3 linked regions of the Arabidopsis thaliana genome follow. The protein of the gene in region 2 purifies or fractionates together with the protein of the main gene of each other region. This does not show direct contact. Each region holds a gene or a part of one and is shown on either strand. Other genes may lie near its edges. The genes, in order: AT4G29710, AT3G59510 and AT4G29700.

Region 1 (3,167 bases), on a different chromosome or scaffold from region 2:
TAAGTCCATCAAAAACACTATCTCTTTTGTTTCCAATTTTCTCCGTCACCAAAACGTCGTCTCAAATTAATCCAATCAATCAAGTTAAACGATTTGTTATGGAAGAAATATAAACCCTAAGAATACTATCTAAGAAACCCAAGGGTTCTACTCTTAAAAAAGATTCAAATCAATTAATCCCCAATTCATCACTAATTCTAAACCAAAAAATTGTTCGTTATTGTCAACGTAGTTCACCGTCATCACCATTGAGAGAAGTATTGGAAAAATGAAGAAAAATTGCAGAAGGGTGAAAGCGTAACATAAACAGAGAGAGAAGTACCTATTTTTATAAGCATATGAGAAGTTACCTAACTAGACAAAGGCACAGACTTAATTGTGCTGATCTCGTAATTGATCCCAAATAAGATTGTATTGTATTAGCCTTTGAGTTTTGATAAGATTTTAGATAATATGACCCAGTGGACTTTATTTTCTAGTTGAGTATTGAATACTGAATGGTTTTTAGTTACTACACATCCATCATACAAATATGATATTTTGTAATATTTAGGAACAATTTAGGTAATGATAAGGTATATGCGTACGCGATCGAAAATATAATGTCACATAGAATTATAGAAAACATACACTAGCTAGTCACTCACTCGCATTTATCAAGCTACTTACTATTTCTGAGTCTGAGTGCTCTCTTGAGCTATAAGAGATTTTTGGCTTCATTCTAACCCCCTTGTTGCTCTGAAAGGCAAGAGAATGCTCCGAGGGAACAAAGAAGAACCATTGTTCGGAGCTGGTCGGAGTCCAAGAATATCTGCAACGACGCTATAGATCTGCACATTCTCAAACGATGGCACTTTCTTTCCTCTCCTAAACCTAGAACCATGTCCGACAAAAATAGTCCTCATTGAGAAGAACTTGTTGTCATAACCATGGTCTCCGTAGCATTCTTGAGCATTAGTTCTATTTTGTCTGACAATTAGACCTTCTCCGACCATTCCTATGATTGGTGGAATCCGATAACTCTGGGAATAATGCAGTCTGTCCGGTAACTTCTCCTTCAAGTAAACAGTCAAAAACTCTCCGTTTTTTACTTTCCCTGAGCTCAAAGCTTCGTTCATCTTTGCCACCACTTCAGCGTTCTTTTCGCCTTGATTCTCGATGTTTGTTTTGTTTGTTTTGTTTTAAATCTATGGCAGTTTGTGAAAAATGTTACAGTAGAAACAGATTCCTTTAATAATTATAACACTACAAGAGTTGGGTAAAATTCATAGTATCATTATTGTCATCTGCATGATCCAGATGTATGAGAGCTGTTGATATCTGATCTTACGGTCTTGATTTTACTCACGTAAATTACCTTTGAGATAAAACATTTCGTGGTGGGCTCTTCAACTTCAACGACTGGCTGATCTGTCAGTTTTGTTATTTTTCAAAACGTGAAGGGAATCTATGAATAATTCCCCGTGAATAATATTTACAACTTTGCAGCGAGGAACAGTTTCCTATAATAAGTACAATGCCAAAACTAGGTAAAAGCGTACAAGACACAATATCAATTTATCATTATATTTATGATATGACTCAACCAAAACGAATAATATGATCATGACCCAGACGTGGTAGACCGTTGATATGATCTGATCTTACTGACTTGAAATTGACTCACGTGTTTGTTACATCGAGATATATCCTTTCGTGGTAAATATGGCCAGTGTTGATATAAGGGCTTATAAAGGGAAGTATAAGCCCATGCTAATTTTTTGGACAAAAAGCACATGCTAATTTATTTTTGGTTAGTTTTGAAGTTCTTCGATCCTATGGGTCTTTGAAATTACTGGGCTCTGAATGTAGCCCAAACAAAATTTTATAAGAAAACTTTCTAAATTTAATTTTGATAGAAATATTTTTTAATATATTGGTATTTTACTATTTTTGTTAATTGACTTTTTTTTTTCCTTGATTCCTTCTAAGTTCTAACTAGTAGTTTACATAACAAGATTGATGGTACGTTTATCGATTTCATGACTTGATTTTTATGATGGAAGATACTTTTCAACTCGAGTTTTTTTTATTTCCATAAATAAGGCATGATCATGTGTCATAGTCACACATATGATATCGACAAAGATAATGATTATAGTGAGAAAATTGTGATTTGTTGGTAAATGATCGTGATTTTGTTGTATGTTACAATAGTTCTAACAAATAGATTCACAAAGTCACAATCATGAATCAAAGAATAGTTTGGATTTCATGTTCATCTCATGATTAAGAGTTTAGGACCATAAATCTATATACTGGTCAAATACATAACATAAATTTGACTTCATTTGCTTCATCTTGTTTTCTTTGAATTACCATGGAATGAAAATGAAAAGGGACCATGTAACCAAATTAGAAAAGTACAGATCCAATAAGATGTTAACCAGCACCAACCTTTTGAATTTTAGCGAAGGGACAGAAAAATGCAAAGAAGCCATGTAAACTTACTCATTTGGCCATCTCTGTGCATTTCAATATTGGACACTTTGTTTTAATCATCACTTTGGTTCACTTTGAGATAACAAATCAAAAGTCTAGGTACAAAAATAAATGACCAAAGACCTATTGCTACCTAGATTCCTTCTTAGCACATTTTATTTTCCATACATCTTATTTTTATTAGACATATCTTTTTCTTAAACAACTTGGGGTGTGTATAAAAAGCTATAAGCTTCCCTATATATAGTGTGTTACTTTAATTTTGTTAGAGAGGTCTACTTTTGTATAACATAATAATCACAAAAAGCTTTATAAAGGAACAACAACCAACATAATTTTTTTTTATACCTATTAGATAATTTACTTAATTCACATATCAACCCAAGTGCACTATAGCTAATAAAAAAATCAAAACTGCAAAACGAAAAAGAACACAAAAATGATCATGTTAAGGATGTACAAAAAGATAATGAATTGTACATTCTCAAACCGTAAGAAAAATAATGGAAGCATCAGGTAAATTTTTCAACTTTTTTCTCGCAATAAGAACATTGCATTACCAAAAAATAGATAAGAACATTATTTTAACTCATACAGAGTAATTCGTATGGGCTTTGGTTTCATTTTGAGATGATTAAATCCTTTTCATAATATCAATTTTAGTGATATATAGTAAAAAGGTGATG
Region 2 (4,036 bases):
TCGACCAAAGTATATGAATTCTCCAGAAGGATGAAAGAGAGATCTTTTCTTCCTTGGGACTCTGATTCGATTCGTCGTGTTCGCGCTAACTTGTTCCAGATTTTTCCAGGAGAAAGTTTCGTCTTTTCACCAAATCGAGTCAGAAAAAAAAACATTGAATCCAATTTTTTGTCTGTGTCGGCTTGACTTGTGGTACTGGGCCTAGGTCGTAATAGACCTTGGGCCTCTCACCATGAATTCTTTTGTCCAGCTATAAAAAATCTGGAATAGGAAAATTCAATGTTTAATTGTGGGAAAAAATGTTATAGGATCACGGTTGAATTTCTCACATAGCAATAATGTTTTTTTTTCGAAAAACATAGCTAAATATGACTGATATAATAGATTTCCATTTTAAAAAAAATAGCTAAATAATGTTTTGCTATTATTCTTGTCAAAATAAACTTTCATTTTGATTTTGTTCTTCAAAATATGGCTTTGGTAATTAGTCCCTAGCTAACATGTTATTCTTTTACGTTCATGTCTAACATTCACATGATGTTCTAACATACATAAGCTGCCTGAAATCCAAATAAATAGAGACAAATCCGTTTACAATTTCTAAAGTTCATCAAGTCAGCTACATAATATATATAACCAAATTGTTTTTTTTCTTTGGTTATATATCATGTAACCAAAATAATAACTAACAAATTTGGACGAATTGAAATTTAAACATGGTAGATCGTTTGTCAACTTATTAGAAATTTGGGATTACAGATTCATGTTTTTGATCGTCTGTTAATACTAGATTACAAACAAATAAAAAGAATGTTCGCCTTTTGTTTTTACTGTCGTTATCAATGAACAACAATGACAATATCAAAACTATGTTCGTTTTATTGTTGTTGAACCCATCCTTAAATTTTGGCGCACAAATATGTATTCCAGCAATTGACGACAATTATTTAAACACTATGTAGTTTTCACTTTTCAGTATTCTAATTCTCACGTACGTTGTTGTTATTCATCATTTAAGTTACAATGGAACGAACCAATCCTTATATATCGAGACACAAGACAACTAAATAACACAATTTTACTAATATTATTAATTTAAGGATATTATACCCTCTTTAAACTAAAAACAAATATATTGATAAATGATAATTGTTATTAATTTCTAGCTACAACATAAAATAAATCTTTGTGACTGAAATTTGAAACTAGTTTATTTTATTCAAGTATAAATGTTATTATTTATAAAAATTTATTTAGATAATCTCACCCATAGCTAAAACAAATAAGAGGATGAAAGTGAATATATATATATATATATATATATATAAAAAGTAAACATTAGTTTAACTAATGCTTGAAGGCTTGAAGCTCCTTGTTGAAGCCAACCATTTATTTCTTGTAAACATTATGAGCCATCAATTTAGAAAAAGAAGAACTTGGGGTTTGCTGGTGGCTTGATTTTGACATGATTCCGGGCCTCAACGTTGGTTGCGATCATCGTTACCATCATCAGAACGATGATGAAGGAGGCAATCATGGTTCTCTTTTCGATGGCCATTGTGCTTGATAAGCTTTTTAAATGGTTCTTGTTTTTTTTTTTGTTTTTTTTTCTGTTTTTGGTTTTATTTTTTTTTTTTGTTTTCTGTATCTTTTGGTTGAATCATCAATGTATTTATATGTAAAATCAAACGTCTATATATAGTGAATTACTAAAATTAAAATTTTGTGGAATGTTTCAATAGTCTTTACTTAGATAATTGGTCAAATGATCACCTCTAGTTTTGTGGTTTCTTAGATTGAATTCTAAATTTATCTTCCAAATTTCAAGCTGACACATGCCTATCATGTGAATTTTACAAAAGTTTGAATTCAAAGTAAAACTTCATGAAAAATTAATAACCATAAGTTATTATCACTTTGTTTGTGATTTTTATTGTAACAAAGTGATATTGTCCAAGTCCGTGAACGGAAAAAGCATGGAAAAAGAAAAACTAAATGTGAGTCAATCCATATTTTGTTTGATATATCATTTATTAATGATGATGCTACAAAGATGTGAATCTCACCAATAACATACCCAAAACCCTTTGAAGCATGTTAGATTCCAATTAGGTTCAACACGATCTTCTTCTTCTCCTTATTCTTCTTCTTACAAGAATACTCACTTAAAAAGAAATGGTTCCATCTTTCCTCTTAAAGAAGAACCATAACAATGGCTGTCAAAATACTACCATCTTCTTCTTCTGCTTCTTCTTCCTTAGTATTCATCATGTCCTTGTTCTTTCTACTTCTTTCACTTATTGTCCCTTCATCAGTTCTATCAGCCACTCTTCGATCTGATATTCAAGCTCTAGAGTCTATAATACGCAGCGTTGATCCAAGTTCCATCTCTCCATCCTCTTACCTCAGCACATGGGACTTCTCTGAAGACCCGTGTGAAGGCTCAGGGACGTTCTTGGGAGTTATGTGTTCTTTCCCTCTGGAGAACACAACTAGCCGGGTTATAGAGATCGATCTTGATGATGACGGTTATGACGGTTTCCTCTCTGATGAAGTAGGAAACCTAACTGAGCTCACTGTCCTTAGCCTCAACAAAAACAGATTCCGCGGTCCAGTACCAGAATCTGTGTTCCAGCTCCGGAAACTTACCAAACTCTCACTAGCAGAAAATTTCTTCACTGGAGACATACCAGCAGAAATCACGCGGCTCAAGGAGCTCAAAACCATCGACCTGTCGAAAAACAGTATCGCCGGTGAAATCCCTCCAAGGATCTCAGCCTTGAGAAGTTTGACTCACCTGGTCCTATCAAACAACCATCTCGATGGAAGAATACCTGCGCTCAACGGCTTGTGGAAGCTACAAGTATTAGAACTCGGTAACAATCATCTTTATGGAATGCTTCCTAAGCTTCCCCCAAGTCTAAGAACTCTATCACTCTGTTTCAATAGCCTTGCAGGACGTATATCACCCTTGCATAGGCTAAAACAGCTTGTGTCTTTAGATGTGAGCCAGAACAGATTCTCAGGCACCGTTGGCCATGAAATCCTAACATTCCCTGAGATTGCACGCATCAATGTGTCTTTTAACCAGTTCATATCCATAGAGGTTATTAAAGTTACAGGATCACGCCTGCGCATGCTTGATGCTGAAGGAAACCATTTACAGGGGCACCTTCCGCTGAACCTGGCAACTTATGAAAACCTAAAGGATATCAATCTACGGAGCAACATGTTCTCTGGCGATATTCCTAGGATTTATGGGAAAAGACTGGAGAATTCATGGAGAAGCTTATACTTGGAGAACAACTACCTGTCAGGTATACTTCCTGAGGAGTTTCAAAAGATTACCAAACAGATCAGAGGAAACCTATCGAACAACTGTCTGCAATGTCCTAAGAATGTTCAAATCTGCCAAGGAACACAAAAGCCAAAATCACAATGCACCAATGCAATGCTGGGGAGCTTGGAGTAGAGATCAAGCGCATGGGAAGCAGTTTCTGTTAGAAAGCATAATTACCAAAGCAAATTTCATGTCCTTGTTCGGTTTTCAATCATGTTAGAAATGTAGTATATGAAAAGTGAGATTCAGAAAAGGGAAGGGAGATAACACTTTTCTTTCCATATTGATGTTTGACATACAGAAGTCTAAACCAAAAAAGCTCAACTACCATATAATATATCCATCAGGAGGACATTCCAAATTCTGCTACATAACCTCAGAGGTGTTTTTCACAACAATATAAACGTAATGCGTTTCAAAAGAGCCAATTCACACTAATGTTACCAAGCCAGATCAAAAGAGGAAACTGGGCTAAAGCAACAAAGATCAAGAGATAGTGATGCCTGCTTGAGTCATAACTCCTAGATTCTGCAAAGAGAACTCGCTTCATTGTCTTCACTAAGAATACCCCAGTGCATAAGCAGGTCCACGGAATCAAAACATAGTAAGAGTATCCCCAGATTATCTTGCCAAGAACAGCTAGACAAAGGCCTGTGAAAGTATAGCCTGCATATGCCACAATATCCAAGAGAGGGG
Region 3 (4,452 bases), on a different chromosome or scaffold from region 2:
TGAGTGACTAGCTAGTGTATGTTTTCTATAATTCTATGTGACATTATATTTTCGATCGCGTACGCATATACCTTATCATTACCTAAATTGTTCCTAAATATTACAAAATATCATATTTGTATGATGGATGTGTAGTAACTAAAAACCATTCAGTATTCAATACTCAACTAGAAAATAAAGTCCACTGGGTCATATTATCTAAAATCTTATCAAAACTCAAAGGCTAATACAATACAATCTTATTTGGGATCAATTACGAGATCAGCACAATTAAGTCTGTGCCTTTGTCTAGTTAGGTAACTTCTCATATGCTTATAAAAATAGGTACTTCTCTCTCTGTTTATGTTACGCTTTCACCCTTCTGCAATTTTTCTTCATTTTTCCAATACTTCTCTCAATGGTGATGACGGTGAACTACGTTGACAATAACGAACAATTTTTTGGTTTAGAATTAGTGATGAATTGGGGATTAATTGATTTGAATCTTTTTTAAGAGTAGAACCCTTGGGTTTCTTAGATAGTATTCTTAGGGTTTATATTTCTTCCATAACAAATCGTTTAACTTGATTGATTGGATTAATTTGAGACGACGTTTTGGTGACGGAGAAAATTGGAAACAAAAGAGATAGTGTTTTTGATGGACTTAAAAGTGATGGTGTTGACAAATATGGTGCTTATGAAGCAAGTGCGGCAGTGAGAAGGGATTGAGGATTTGAGTTGCAGAAAAAATTGTTGACAACGATGGTGTTGTTATCAACACTATAACCTCTAACAAGGGGTAAAACCGTCATATCCCCTATCAATATATGCTTATTTCCATAAGTCCATTCAAAAAATTCATTTTTTCTAATTATTGGGCTAAAATGTGTCCAATCTTACAAAAGCCCCATCTTATTTGGCTACATTCTATTATTGGCTGGTCCCCAAACACTTTTAAACCGTATAGAGTTGGCATAAGCGTATTTTACATTTATAGGGACAAGGGTCAAACACAGGCCATCCAGTCACCACGAAAGGATCGGATATATCTCAACGTGAAAACACGTGAGTTAAATCAAGACCGTAAGATCAGATATCAACGGCTCTCCCGCATCTGGATCATGCAGCTGACAATAATGTGAACGTGACTTCTACCTAACTCTTATATTGTACTTATTCAAGGAATCTATAATTATTTTTCACAAACTGCCATAACGATTTAGAAAAGTAGTCAAAATTCCAAAAGTTGGAGGATATTTTTTTTATTGTCATTTGACACAAATATATAGAGTAGTAAATGTAATCTTTCATGTCCAAATTTTATTTTTGACAAATACCTCAATATGTCCGATTTAAATTTTCTTTTGTCAACGTCCCTTTAATTTTTTTAATCAATTTTTTGTACTTCATTGTAATAATATGATCACTAATAACATTTCCATTATTTCAATAACTGATTAATTTTTGCTATGTGATATTAATGATGTAATCTAAAAATTGTTGTACTAGTGAGTAGTGATGATTTATCAATCAAAACACCAACTCAACACCCAAGCTATAATATATACAAAAAAAAAAAAAAAAATCTAAACAGACAGGCAATTAAATATCCTCCTTAATTAAAGACAAAACCCCAAATAATTCTGATTTTATATATCACTAGCTATTATGTACCAACTACCATCGATCGCCCATGCATTACATGAGCAATATGCAGCATCAAAATTTCAATAAAAGTCTAATTCTGTTATTAAAAAAGGGAGAAATTACATTCTCACGCTCTATAAATAACATGAGCTGCAAGAACCATAACAAACCTTATTTCAAATGGCTAAAACCAAAAATGTTATTTCTTTCAAACTTTCTCTCATCTTCCTTCTTAATATTTTCATCGTAGCCACCATCGCAGCCGCAGCGGCCGTTAACGCCGGTACCAAAGGTTTGGATTCTCGGCCGTCCAAAACCAGGCGTCCCTGGCCTTTCAAGAAGCTCAACAAACCGGTGGTTTTAATGATCTCTTGCGACGGTTTCCGGTTTGGTTACCAATTTAAAACGGACACACCAAACATCGACCTTCTCATATCCGGAGGAACTGAGGCCAAACACGGTTTAATCCCGGTTTTCCCCACCATGACATTCCCAAACCACTACTCTATCGCAACCGGACTCTACCCGGCTTACCACGGTATAATCATGAACAAGTTTACCGATCCGGTTACGGGAGAGGTGTTCAACAAAGGCTTACAACCAAAATGGTGGTTAGGTGAGCCGCTGTGGGTAACCGCAGTAAACCAAGGTCTCAAGGCTGTGACCTACTTTTGGCCAGGCTCTGAAGTTCTAAAAAGTTCTTGGACTTGCCCTGAAGGATATTGTCCACATTTCAATCTTTCAGTTCCTTTAGAAGAAAGGGTTGATTCGGTCTTGAGCCATTTTGATCACCTTGAGGACGAAGTTCCTGATTTACTGATGTTGTATTTCGATGAGCCAGACCAATCGGGTCATAACTATGGTCCTGATGATCCTCGGGTTACGACTGCTGTTTCTAGGGTTGATAAAATGATTGGTAGGGTGATAAAGGGGCTGAAGCAGAGGGAGATCTTTGATGAGGTTCATGTGATATTGCTTGGTGATCACGGAATGGTGACCAACTGTGAGTGTAACGAGAAAGCGATTTACATTGATGACTTAGCGGATTGGATCAAGATACCCGCGGCTTGGATCCAGGCTTACAGCCCAGTGCTAGCAATCAATCCTCAGTGGGGGAAAGATGTCGAGAATCAAAGCGAAAAGAACGCGGAAGTCGTGGCGAAGATGAACGAAGCTTTGAGCTCAGGGAAAGTAAAAAACGGAGAGTTTTTGAAAGTTTACTTGAAGGAGAAGCTACCAGAGAGACTGCATTTTTCAGAGAGTTATCGGATTCCACCGATCATAGGAATTGTCGGAGAAGGTCTAATGGTCAGACAGAACAGAACAAATGCTCAAGTTTGCTATGGAGACCATGGTTATGACAACGAGCTCTTCTCGATGAGGACTATTTTTGTCGGACATGGTTCTAGGTTTAGTAGAGGAAAAAAAGTGCCATCATTCGAGAATGTGCAGATCTATAACGTCGTTGCAGAGCTTCTTGGACTCCGACCAGCTCCGAACAATGGTTCTTCTTTGTTCCCTCGGAGCATTCTCTTGCCTTCTGGAGCAACAAGGGAAGTAAAATGAAGTAAAATCACTTAGCTCATGAATAATAAGTAAGATGATAATGAGTGACTAATCTATGTGCTCAATCTTGTGACCCTTAATGTTTTTGAATAACCAGGTTTCGTGGACTGAAGCGACGTTAATAGAACAATTCGGCATCTTTTCTTTTTTTATTCGAATGTATATATCTAAATCATTACCTAAATTGTTCCTAAAATAATTCAATTAATATCATTTTTGTAGGATGTTTAGTAGTAAGTCACATCACACACTATGCAATACTCAAAACTAATTATTTCTACTTATATATATATTGCAGTCAGTCACATGTACCTCTCAATCCATAAAAGTCCAGTTTAGTAAATATTATATTGATAGTAACGTTTATTCAACATATCATGATCTACTTGATATGAATTAATTTATTACATTAAAGTTACTCAATAATAGTGATGTAAGAAGATCTCTCTTTCTCACTCTCCCTCGATATGTCAATTGTTCGATATAGAAAACTCTTGGACTTGTTTAATTTTGGGAGATAAGATTGGAAAAGAGCAGACCCATGCATCAACAGAAAGAGGGGTTGTTTTTTCCGTAGTTAATTCCTTTACCAAATAAATCTCTTCAACTTTTGAGGTAATTTTGATTTGAAAGGAGACGTTTTAGAGACCAAACAAATGGTGGTTCATATACTTTGTTCCTAATACATTTTTTTCTTTTTTTTATCATTGGAAAGTATTTTAAGTATATTTGATTTTTTAGATCTTGGAGACTAAATTTTAGATTTTGGCTAGAAATCTATTCCAATTAAAATATATAGATTACTCACCGTTTTCTTTATCATTTCACCAATTTCCATTGTGTTGATGAAGTCACGAATCTCGAGTCCGATCATATTCGGCCATCCCTATGTATTAATTAAAAATAAAGATCAGGACGTGAAAGGATTCTGAAAAACATGGGGAAAATCAGAAATCTCAACAACTTTTCAGTAGATGAGTCATTTAATTCATATGTTAATACTATTATCATAATAGCATTTAAAACCATACGATGCTTTTATTGATTTGAGATTAGAGAATCTATTACTTGCCGACAAGACAGTCAACACTTCAAAAAGTTATATCACCCACCATTACCTGCCACTTAACACTAGAAGAAGAATTAGTTAGTTAATCAAAAATAAAACACGAGAGATTCTTGTTATATATATAAAGAGAAAAAAAAAAGAACTTTGCCGCTCTATAAAGAATGTGAACGTTGCTAGAGCTCAACCAATCA

What was found.
Region 1: the proteins of AT3G59510 (region 2) and AT4G29710 fractionate together in Arabidopsis thaliana (co-fractionation; one large-scale study listed by BioGRID). This does not show direct contact.
Region 3: the proteins of AT3G59510 (region 2) and AT4G29700 fractionate together in Arabidopsis thaliana (co-fractionation; one large-scale study listed by BioGRID). This does not show direct contact.

The regions. Positions count from the first base shown.
Region 1 is NC_003075.7:14,546,285-14,549,451, forward strand, and holds AT4G29710 (Alkaline-phosphatase-like family protein), read right to left. Parts: upstream 1,311-3,167; 5' UTR 1,119-1,310; coding exon 717-1,118; 3' UTR 501-716; downstream 1-500.
Region 2 is NC_003074.8:21,987,889-21,991,924, reverse strand, and holds AT3G59510 (Leucine-rich repeat (LRR) family protein), read left to right. Parts: upstream 1-2,077; 5' UTR 2,078-2,212; coding exon 2,213-3,472; 3' UTR 3,473-3,536; downstream 3,537-4,036. Other genes in the region: AT3G59500 (Integral membrane HRF1 family protein), read right to left, coding at 3,756-4,036.
Region 3 is NC_003075.7:14,542,479-14,546,930, reverse strand, and holds AT4G29700 (Alkaline-phosphatase-like family protein), read left to right. Parts: upstream 1-1,620; 5' UTR 1,621-1,806; coding exon 1,807-3,192; 3' UTR 3,193-3,793; downstream 3,794-4,452.